Ovis aries: one gene and its partners. The protein of the gene in region 2 purifies or fractionates together with the protein of the main gene of each other region. This does not show direct contact. Links are inferred from orthologs where the notes say so. Each region holds a gene or a part of one and is shown on either strand. Other genes may lie near its edges. The genes, in order: EXOC7, EXOC3 and EXOC6B.

Evidence for each region.
Region 1: the proteins of EXOC3 (region 2) and EXOC7 purify together in Homo sapiens (affinity purification with mass spectrometry; 5 studies listed by BioGRID and IntAct, counting the BioPlex papers as one, with this or other methods). This does not show direct contact. The link is inferred for Ovis aries from reciprocal best matches to the Homo sapiens genes EXOC3 and EXOC7.
Region 3: the proteins of EXOC3 (region 2) and EXOC6B purify together in Homo sapiens (affinity purification with mass spectrometry; 3 studies listed by BioGRID and IntAct, counting the BioPlex papers as one, with this or other methods). This does not show direct contact. The link is inferred for Ovis aries from reciprocal best matches to the Homo sapiens genes EXOC3 and EXOC6B.

Annotation. Positions count from the first base shown.
Region 1 is NC_056064.1:54,905,184-54,908,932, reverse strand, and holds the start of EXOC7 (exocyst complex component 7), read right to left. Parts: upstream 2,518-3,749; 5' UTR 2,452-2,517; coding exon 2,392-2,451; intron 2,205-2,391; coding exon 2,139-2,204; intron 1,016-2,138; coding exon 831-1,015; intron 643-830; coding exon 537-642; intron 1-536. UniProt on the Homo sapiens protein: Component of the exocyst complex involved in the docking of exocytic vesicles with fusion sites on the plasma membrane.
Region 2 is NC_056069.1:71,721,370-71,725,118, reverse strand, and holds the start of EXOC3 (exocyst complex component 3), read left to right. Parts: upstream 1-1,310; 5' UTR 1,311-1,433; intron 1,434-2,466; 5' UTR 2,467-2,525; coding exon 2,526-2,669; intron 2,670-3,749. UniProt on the Homo sapiens protein: Component of the exocyst complex involved in the docking of exocytic vesicles with fusion sites on the plasma membrane.
Region 3 is NC_056056.1:94,435,122-94,438,770, forward strand, and holds part of EXOC6B (exocyst complex component 6B), read right to left. Parts: intron 3,183-3,649; coding exon 3,085-3,182; intron 1,615-3,084; coding exon 1,509-1,614; intron 660-1,508; coding exon 550-659; intron 1-549. UniProt on the Homo sapiens protein: Component of the exocyst complex involved in the docking of exocytic vesicles with fusion sites on the plasma membrane.

The DNA of each region.
Region 1 (3,749 bases), on a different chromosome or scaffold from region 2:
CTGAACTGTTCCCTTAAAGATGGTCAGAAATGGTAATTTTTATATTATTTATTTTTCAGTACAATAAAAAATACCCATGCATTTATAAAAATCAAATGTTAAATCTGTATTTCATAGGTAACTTGTAATGTGTGTTCTCTGCTGGCTCAGTGGTAAAGAACCTGCCTGCCGATGCAGGAGATCTCTGGGTTGAGAAGATCCCCTGGAGAAGGAAATGGCAACCCACTCCAGTATTCTTGCTTGGGAAATCCCATGGACGGAGGAGCCTGGCAGACTACAGTCCATGGGGTCACAAAAGAGTCAGACACAACTCAGCAACTAAACAACAACTTATAATTTAGCTAAATTATTAAAATGCAATCAAAATGTAGACCTGTAATTTCTGAAACAGACATTTCAATGTCTGTAGTATGTGCATGGTACTATATACTTCTCTTCATTCGACTATATTATCTTTTAGCTGGTTCAGTGTCTCATGAGACCCGGACAGGGATTGGTGTCTCCCAACCTCTCACATCACTCTGCTGGCCCCTTACCACTTTGTTGAGCTCTGGGCTGTCTGGGCTATTGTCCTGGAAATATTCCACAGCCTTCTGAATCTTGGCCATGCTTCCCAGATACTCCTCTAGCCTACCTGTAGGCCTGGAAAGGAGAAGAACCATATTAGCCCGGGCAGATGGAAGATGAATAGGAAGGACTAAGGGAATGGTATTTGGAAATGGTGAACAGAATTAACACAGGGGACTCTAGGCTCATATATATTCTACCCCGCTTCCAAAGCCTACTGGTCCAAGAGGCGTTAGGAATGTGACCCTCTGGTCCGAGCTCACCCCTCTCTGATGATCTTCTCAGTGTCACTGGCCACGTGGTAGTAGCTGATGACATGGTCCAGACAGGACAGGGTCTTCTCGACATTCTCCTGCAGCCGCTGCAGGTTCTCCGTCTGCTTGTGCACGGGGATGATGGAGTTCTCCAGCTTCATAAGGCGACTTTCAAAGGATGACAGGATAGACACCTACAGGGGGAAGCCCCGTGCTCTCAGGCCTCAGGGTTGTCCCAGCACTGCTTCTGCCCCTTGCCAGGTCTTCGCATTTGCTGCCTTTTCTCTGGTTTTCTAGACAGTAGGCTCCAAGAGGAGAGGGACAGGGTATACTTATTCCCCACTGTATCCCCAGGATCTACCACATGCCTGGCAGATCGGAGGTGGCCCAAATAAATTGGCTGAAGTTTGATTTGAAGGCGAGGCAACCATTACATTAACTTCTCAGAAAATCACCTCAGGATGGCTTCCCTTCCACCCTTTAAAGCCAGATCTCAACTTATGTTCTCCCTGATGCTTTCCTAGACTGAACAGGAACTACTTTCATATAGAGTAGCCTCAAGGTACTCTATACCAGCATTCCTGGTACCTTCAAACCCCCTCTCTCTAAGGCTAAATCTCATTAAGTAAGGACTAGCACCTGATGACTGTGTTACTGAATACATACCCACCTTTCTATCTACTACTCAGTTTGGGTTTTCCAGGCTCTTTTCAGAATAAGAAAGGAAGTTCATGTTTATTGAGTACCTATTGTATACCAGATACTGTGCAAGAGGCATTTCCATGCATTAGCTTCTATGACCTTCACAGCTACAATGGAGATTGGCATCGTCTATTTTAGCAGAGGAGGTAACTGAGGCTCAGCGTTACCTGTCAGGAGCCACACACACATAAGTGGAGGGGCAAGGGCTAGATCCCGCATCTATCTGATTTCTGATTCATTTTACCCCTCCAGCTCTCCAGAGTGACGGCTGAGTCTCCTGCCCTCAGTAATCTCAGAAGTGGTAACCCCACCCGTGATACCCGCACTTAAACTAAGGGTGACCCATGGCCAGTACCCAGCCCACTTAAGTCAGTCTCACTAAATGTTTGCGGAAGGAGAGAAAGAAGAATGGAGAACTTAGGCAGAAAGCAGAAATGTGGGGAGGCTGCCGCATCCTCAGCGAAGTGGCGGGCAAGGGTGTAAGAAGTGTAACACTGTTGCTAGAGAAACCCAGACGTTACCACCCATCACCACCCAGGCCAGAAGCCTCAGGCTTTAGGTACCAAACCCCTGGGTCGCAGCGTCTGGAGGCCCTCCCAGCGAGGGGTTACTCACCATGTTCTTGGTGAGCTGGTCGCTCTTCTCCAGGCTGTCTCGGATGAAGGACAGCGTCTCCTCCTCCTGCGAGGGGGAGGGGAGGACATCAGCAGAAGCCAGAGACCACCGCATCCCGGCTCCACAGCCTCGCCCGGACCCTATTGCCTGGTACCCGGCCCCCTCCACTCCTGCTACCTCCCCTCCCTGAGTGGACGCCCGGCCCGGATCTCGGCCCCTTCCCTCACCTCCTCCCCCGCCTCCCCAGCCCCACCTGCTTCAGCTTGTCCTCGATCTCCCGCCGCCGGGCGGACGCCTCCTGCGGGGGAATCATGACTTCGACCCTCCCTGCGAGCGGCTCCCACAGCCGAGCGGCTCCCACAGCCCAGCGTCTGGCTTCAGAGAGCCCTCTCGGCTCCCGTCCCTGTCACACCCACTTCCGCCCGTGGCCCCCTCCCGGGGGCCCGTTTGCCGCCATGTTGGGAGTGGCAGGCGGAAGTGCGCCTGCGTGGAACTCAGGGACAGGGGAACCCGGCAGGTGGCCATCTTGGGTGTGGCGGGGAGGTGCACCGGGTTTCACCTTGATGCGTGTTGCCGCACTCATCAGAGAAGGTTCTCTAGGGGTGTTTTGTCCCGCAGCTGGCACAACAGTTACAGCTCACTTGCCGTCTTCGTGGGAAGGCTGACTCTTTTCACAAAGATTAATAACAAATTCGTTTGTCTGGATCCAGGCACAGATGAGGTGTTCCCCCGCAAAGCACAGCACAGAGCTTGTCACACAGCAGGCGCCTAATGTGTGCTCATTTAATGACCGAGGGACCTATGTAGTCGTGTCCCCCTTCGGCCCTAAAAGCTCTCACGGAATGCGCCCTGTGTGCAAGCCCTGGCCCGGGCAAAGAATGGTCGCCCATGGCCCCAGAGGCATCCATAACTACAATCCCGACTTGTGAGGGGCTCGGCCAAATTCCTGGGGTAGGAGGGGTTCTGGGAGCACTCATCCCGGGGACTGGGATGGGACCAGAGAGAAGCTCCAAGCGCCACACTAAGGTGTCTGTTTTGGAAAGAGAGACATGGTTTTATTTGCTGGGGGTGAGGGCCAGGCCGCGGGTAGCGAGTGGCTTCAGCGGTGTATTTGCCCAGGTCTGGAAACAGTGCAAGGGGAAGGCTGAAAAAGTCCAGACCTGTCCGAGGGGTTAGAACCCAGGTGGTGTTCTCAGTGATGGAGACGCTGAGGCCTATCTGCTGGTGCTCAGACACAAGGGGAGCGTTTCTCATAGGGCCGCTGAGGACATCAGAAAGGCCTGGAGGGCTGGTAGGGACCCTCCTGCAAGAGGCCAAAATATCTCAGCTCCTTTGCCCAGAGTCTCCTCTAATTAGGGGCCAGCCAGGGGTGGGGAGGTGGCCCTGGGTCAGGGTTCCTGCAGGGATGAATGTTCTAGATTCACCACAGACACAGCTCCTGCAAAACCTAGTATTACTCCCTCCTCCATTGCAGAGGCTCACCCTGCCTCTGGTCTCACCCTGGGGTGGTAAGTGGCTGCACAGCTTTGTTGAGGCATCCAGATACAGGAAGACAGACAGTGAAGCATATGCTGGTGGGTGAGAAGGTTTGGGGGGCATCAAGTTATAGGG
Region 2 (3,749 bases):
CGGGAATCCCGCCCGGGAGCGCTTCGCCATTAAAAAGGCCGTTAGACACTGTTTTGGTGTCCTGGTCGGTTTTTTTTTTAACCTAACACAAACCTCCTCCAAACTTAACCGTCCTGTTTCTTCACGTTTCTCGTATCTTTCTTACGGTAGCTAGCTGCTTTAAACTTGTGCTCTGATGCTTGGTCTATGTGAGCATGTCTCCACTCCTCCTTCTGTGTCCTTTGCTTTGCTTTTCCTAGTATCACTATGGCATTGCTTGCACTTTCTCCTCATATTTAACAAAGTGTAAGCTACAGTGTAACAAGATCTCCGCTCTCTCAGGACGCTTCAGAGATGTACCTCGCTCCCTTCTTTAGCCCGCCGGGCCAGAGCCTCTCAAGAACTGCTCCTGGTGTCTTCTGCTGAGGGCTTTCAGAGAGAGCTTTCCCACTGAGGAGGGCACCAAACCCAGGTAGGCACAGGCTCCCAGCTCTGTCTTCTTGAGATCCTCTCCTGACCCGGGCACCCCAGCACCTGGGAGACATTGCTTTTTTGGGTTCTGTTGTTTGTTTTCCCTGGTCCACTCGTGCGCTGAAGATGTTTCAAAATGCCTGTACAGTCAGAATTTCAAACACAGTTAGAATCTGTTTACATTCTTCGTTTCTCTAGTGTTCGGTCATTCAGCCGGTCCAACTCTTTGCGGAGAGCCCATGGGGATTCTCCAGGCAGGAATACTGGAGTGGGTTGCCATTTCTTTCTCCAGGGGATCTTCCTGACCCAGCATGGTGCTATATTTTCACAAATTATTAGGGACAGATGAAATCACAGAGGGGTCAGCCCTCAGAGCCAGTCAGGCGCTGAAGTCCTGGCCCTTGCTGAGTGTTCTGCTGTCAGCTGACTGTAGGTCCTGGTTGGCATGGCCGCAGGTAGGGGGCTCCACACCTCCTCCTCCCTGCCCCTGCCTCTGCGACCCAGGCGTTTGCACGCAGATGCTGACGCGGGCGTGTGTGGTGTCTATGGTGCATGTGTGGGTATGGACGTCTGTGTGTGTGCGGTGTGTGCATGTGGTGCGGTGTCTGCATTTGTGTGTGGAGTGTGTGGCATGTCGGTATGTGATATGTGTCTGGGGTGTGTTTATGTGTCTGTCTATGTGTGTGTTTACGTGTGTGTGTGGAGGGGGGGGTGCGTGCGCGCCGCAGCCCCGCTCTAGGTGCCGTGGCCCCATCTGCAGCCGGCCTTCACGGTCACTGAGCCCGCGCGGCCCGGGCCCCGCGTCCGAGCCGCCAGGCCCCGCCCTCCCAGTCTCGAGGCCGGAAGCGGAAGTGCCCGCCGAGCGCTCACTTCCGGGCGGCGGAGGCGGCGGGGGCGACCCGCGAGGTGAGGCTTCGCCGAGCTGTGGCAGCTGCGCGGCGGTGGCGGTCCCCACCCGCCGTCCCTTTCCCCGGCTCCGGCGGGTGCGGGCGCGGCCAGGCGGCGGTGCGGGCGGCCGGGGGGGGGGGTCCCGGGGGCGTCTGAGTCCCGTCGAGAGGCTCGCGTCCTTGACGGGGCCGACTCCGCGTCAGGCCCGGAGGAGGGAGGCGTTGCGGACCTGAGCGCGCGGGCGGCGGCCGGGAGACCCGCGGCCGCCCCGGGCGCCCCGGCCCCGGCGCAGCCCAGGGCCCGGAAATGGGGCGAGGAGACACGGCGCCCCAGCCCAGGTCCGTGAGGGCGCCAGACGCACTCGGGTCCCGCCCCTCAGGGTCTGCGGGGACCTGAGTGTTGCTCCGACAGCGTTTGCGGAGGGAATGGGGAGCGTCCTGGAGATTGGTGCACTGAAAACATGCGTGGAAACGGGCGGCTAACGGCAGATGTCCGCTCTCTCCTTTGCCGGACGCTCCCGAGCTCCCCAGCTCGGATGTTGGTGGAGCCGGCACGAAGGCAGCAGTGCGTTGTCCTGAGGAGAGCGTCGTTTGCCCGCTCACCTGTTTACTAAGGCTGTTAAATAGTAAGATGTGGGATTTGAGACTCTACAGGTAGTGATTTTTGAGGGGAATCGTACGGTGGGTGCTGAAACTTTCGCGGGGATGGTGAGGTGTGTACTGGCCCTGTGCCTCCGCATCTTCCCCGGGGCTTCCTGGCACAGCCGCCCCTCCAGGGAGTTCAGAGCCGGTGTGAAGGCTCTGGAAATGGGAAAGGGGACCTGTCTGGGGGAGAGAAGTGCCCTGGAGACTGCCGTCTGATGTGAGTAATCTGGCCTCCTCCATGTGCTAATATCTTGTGCCTGTAATTGCCCCTGCTCCACTGTAAGGTAAGATTGAATTCTGAAAGTGTATTTCTTATCGAGGAGCTCATAACCCTAGTTCTGGTTTCAGGGTTGCTGGGTTAATGGTCTCAGATGCTCTTCTTATAGCTCTGCTGTGGACAGCTGACTGTTGGTGGAGGGAGTAAGTTTTGTCACTTAACATTTCTACCTTTCTAACACATCCCCCCTCCCTGTTCCCCATCTAGCTGTGGACAGAGGATGCCTCTAATATGACAGGTGCAGACATCCTCCCTGCTTTGTAACCATGAAGGAGACTGACCGGGAGGCTGTCGCAACAGCGGTCCAGAGGGTTGCTGGAATGCTGCAGCGCCCTGACCAGCTGGACAAAGTGGAGCAGTATCGCAGAAGAGAGGCCCGGAAGAAGGCCTCTGTGGAGGCCAGATTAAAGGTACGAGGTCAGAGTGGCCACCAGCACCTGCTGTACTCTCCAGCGGGACAGGGCCTTTTATCTTGAGTTTCAAGTTCTTTAACGAAGTTGTAATTTTGCCAGATTGGACATTGTGAGGATGTGGAAGAAGGCAGACGTGAACATTGCCTTGATTTAGCACATTTTTTCCAATAATGTATTGCCAGTTAGTAGATTGACAAAGTAGGCAGGGGGGTGTTGAAAACACCAAAGAAACAACCCCTTTAAGCATCCAGAAGTGTCCATTTACCTTTTTAAAGAACACTAGCAGAATAACGGTTTTTGTTCTTTAGCAAATGCTCTTCCACCGAGTGTGTCCAGAGAGCATTTTGTTTGGGTCCTTCTAGCACACGCTATAGTATGCTGACTGTGTACCAGGTATTCTGTTGGCCTTCTGGGCAGGAAGGAAGAGAACACTACACATTTATTAGTGTGTGTGAAAATGAGACAAGAAAGAAGTCAATCTTTTATGATTTGGATTGGCTTTCAACATAATTCACATGGAGAAATTGGGTTTTATTAAAACAATGCATGCCTGGTATAGCTATAAAAACATTAAGACCATGGCCTGCTGACTGGCAGCACAACAGTCTTGAGGATTTAAGAGAGTGCATTTGAGGAAGGTTAATTCTCGCATGGACATGGAACAGCAGACTGATTCCAAACAGGAAAAGGAGTACGTCAAGGCTGTATAGTGTCACCCTGCTTATTTAACTTACATGCAGAGTACATCATGCAGAATGTCAGACTGGATGAAACACAAGCTGGAATCAAGATTGCCTGGAGAAATATCAATAACTTCAGATATGCAGATGACACCACCCTTATGGCAGAAAGTGAAGAACTAAAGAGCTTCTTGATGAAAGTGAAAAAGGAGAGTGACAAAGTTGGCTTAAAGCTCAACATTCAGAAAACTAAGATCATGGCATCCAGTCCCATCACTTCATGGCAAATAGATGGGGAAACAGTGGCTGACTTTATTTTTCTGGGCTCCAAAATCACTGCAGATGGTGACTGCAGCCATGAAATTAAAAGACGCTGACTCCTTGGAAGGAAAGTTAT
Region 3 (3,649 bases), on a different chromosome or scaffold from region 2:
AGCTATGACAAACCTCACATGACAGTGTATTAAAAAAGCAGAGACATCATTTTGCTGATAAAGGTCTGCATACTCAAAGCTATGGTTTTTCCAATATCATGTACAGATGTGAGAACTGGATCATAAAGACCGCTTAGTACCAAAGAATTGATGCTTTCAAACTGTGATGCTGGAGAAAGCTCTTGAGATTCCATTGGATAGCAAGATCACAGCAAGAATTTCACATGCCACTCCTCTACTGGCCTTAACATTTCATCAATATAATGTAAAAACAAGAATATTATACTACTCTTTTCTAGTTTAACTCTCACTAGAAATGCAAATCTATAAAGGAAACAGTAGAGAATAAAGTAAGTAATATAAAAAGAAATTATTCAAGAGTTTCCAACTTCCCTTTTTTTTACCTGACCATATAAATAGGGCAGTGGCATACCATACGAGGCTTATATTACAACTTTCAAACTTGGAACTGAAGGGAACATCAAAAGTATTCCAGAATATTTATGTATATCTCAGTATCTACTGCACCTCCATTATTTCATACTATACCTTAGATGAAGATCTTCTGAAAACTTCAGACAGGCGTAGATAAATTCTTTAATTTGGTTGTAAACTTTTGGCACAAATTCAGAAAATGGAAACTTTTTTGGGAATGGTTGCTGTAAAAGCAAGAATTAATGAAAGTTACAAATGACCATACATTGAAAATACCTACTAACTAATTAAAATGCGAAAGAGATTTTCTTACACACTAGGAACTGCCTTCTTAACAACTCTACATTTTAAAAACATATTTGTGACAGTTTTCTAATACTAAAAAGAATACGATTAAATTAAGTAAATGATTCTAACATCCTGTAAAACCCAATAAAAAAATTCTGACACATACTCAGCAATAAAAAGGAATGAGTTATTGATATGTGCAACTTAGATGAGTCTCAAAAGCATCATCTTCAGTGAAAGAAGCCAATCTCAAATGGTTACACACTATATAACTCCATTTATAAGGCCTTTCAGAAAAGGTAAAAGTAGATGGATAGCAATGATAGTTGGTTGCCAAAAGCTAGGGGTTGAGGAGTAATTGATTAAGAAGGTATAGCATGAGGGAATTTGGAGGAATCATGAAACTGTCTGCAACATTGTTGTGGTAGTACATCCACCACAAAGCACAGTCAAAACCAATACAATTATATAGCAAGGTAAATTTTACTGTATATGTTGGATACAATGTCCTCAAAGTATAAGAAAAGCAAATATTTCAACGTGTAAGTCAAAAGGAAACCCTGCCAGAAATCTCCTAAACGCTTCAGAGGTGACAGTACCCCAAAGCCATTTACTGATTGATTCCCCAAACAGGAACTTCTGCTCCTCTAAGCTGAAAAATCATCCTTTGAAGCTGTTTTAGATTCCTAACTCACTGAGTTAGAAATTATGCCTTTAATGAGACTGATACAAAGAAAGCTTTAAGAGAATGCCAAATCAGAGAAGTTTATTTTAGTGTTCCTTACCTTTTCCAGCTCTGTATCTTGGAATGGGAACTGTCCTATCACCTTTTTATACATCTCTTCACTTGTTACTGGTATAGGACTGTAGTTGTCAGAATCAAGTATGTTTCTATAAAGAAAATAAAAGAAGAAAGGAAAGGAGGGAGGGATAAAATAAAAAAGGAAAGACAGGTGGGTTCATCAGTAGAGTGATCACAAATAACTTTCATAATAAACATTTCTTAGTCCCTAATCTATTCTTTTTACAGTACAGCTATTTGGTCTTAGGTAAGGACATCTTAAAAAAAAACACAAAAGGAAAATTGCATTCTAAAACAAATGGAACACAAATATAAAGATGACCTCATAGTACTTGAGATTTACAGCTCAGACAGAAAATTTCAAGGCAACATGTTGAAGCCTTAAGGCAAATGAGAAGCAGCAGCAACAACAAAAAATGTGAGCTCTGGAAAAGGCAAAGAGGTTTTATATGCTTTCTTAAAAAGAAAAATAAAGACTTTTCTTTAATTCTAGGCTAGATTTTCTATTTTATCAAACTATGTTCATGTACTTCATCTACTGCTTCATTAAGAATGACTTTTTCTTCATCCAAAGGTTCTGTGTCCTTAACTAGGCTAGGAATTCTGCAGAGCAGAGACCATACTACCAAAATCAAAAAAGAAATTTACTGAAGGTTTCAGATCACATGCACTTGGATATATCATGGTACTAATTTTCAAAGACAATCTCCCCTAAAGAAAATTATATCATTAACAAACAGGATTTTTTATAAATACAAATATTTATATTAATATACTAATGAGTTATACTACATAATTATCAGCTATATGTTTATAAAATGTGAAGAGTAAGATTAATGGGACAATGTAATACCTTAAAGCTATAAGAACTTGAAAACAAAGTAAGTTGACCTAGAGAAGTGGTCCTGCAGTAAGCAGAAAGATCACTTTAAATGAAGAAACAAGTGAGTTGACATGAGTTATGTGTGAGGAAAACATGTCCAAGGAAATATTTGTAAGAGAAGGTGTAATACAATAATTTTCTTAGCGTTGTATGCATGTTGCAGTAACTATTTAAATAATGTGCTTCAAATATTAGATTGTAATAGGTCTCTTCTTTGGATATGGAGAATAAAGAAGATGAGGAATAACATGAGTGAGTCTTCAAAAAAGTTCTAAAAAAGCTAAATTATTCAAAAGGGTTCAAAATCCACTATCCTACAAGCGAGACATAGATTAGGCATGATCCCCAAAGAGAAAATCAAAAATCAAATTAAGATGACACAAGGTGATCTAGTTGGTATGAACCAAGGTATTTACCATTTATTCAATGAAACAAATCTGGGGATTTTTGGGACTCCTCGCACAGTATGTACTAATATCCAGAGTTTGAATGTCTTGGGAACTTTATTTGGGATACCATTACTACTTAATTGAATTCCCAATCATAATTGGAATCAGACCTAGAAAAAAATAAGCCACATACACTTGTTGCTTATTATACCCGAAAACCCGTATTTATAAAGACGAGTGTACAAACATGCATGCCCACACACACTCAACTGCAGATAATTTCTCACCTGAAAATACCTGACCACTTCTTTAGCAAAGTTTCACTATACTGGTCTCTGATTTCTAATAACATGTCAAAAAGCTGATTTACAGGAAAACCATATACCTGAAACAAAATAAGAAAAAAAGCTTCATTTTTTAAGGTGATTTTTTTAAACAACATGAGAGAGATTAGGCACTGAAAGATAATTTTGTACTTTGGACAACAATTTAAATAAAACCACGATATAAGAATCTTCCATTCCCACCTAATATCTAGTGATTATCCTCAATAATTAAAATATATATACCAAAACATTTGAGCCAGTCAGAAAAAAATAAAAAGATGAACATTAGAATTAATATATATTAGATATAACTGTCAATGAAGTTTTCCCTATAACTCCTTCTGTAACTCTTGGCAACTTTTAAGAGTAGGGTCAGAAAATGAGAATGCTACCAATCTTACCCACTTCTAATGTTATTCTATTGAATATAATATGTGGTTCATATCAATAATCATTATCCAAAATAGTAGGTAAGAAAATAGTTTAAGAACTAATGTAGTGAGTCATTTAATCAATTTGCTATGAG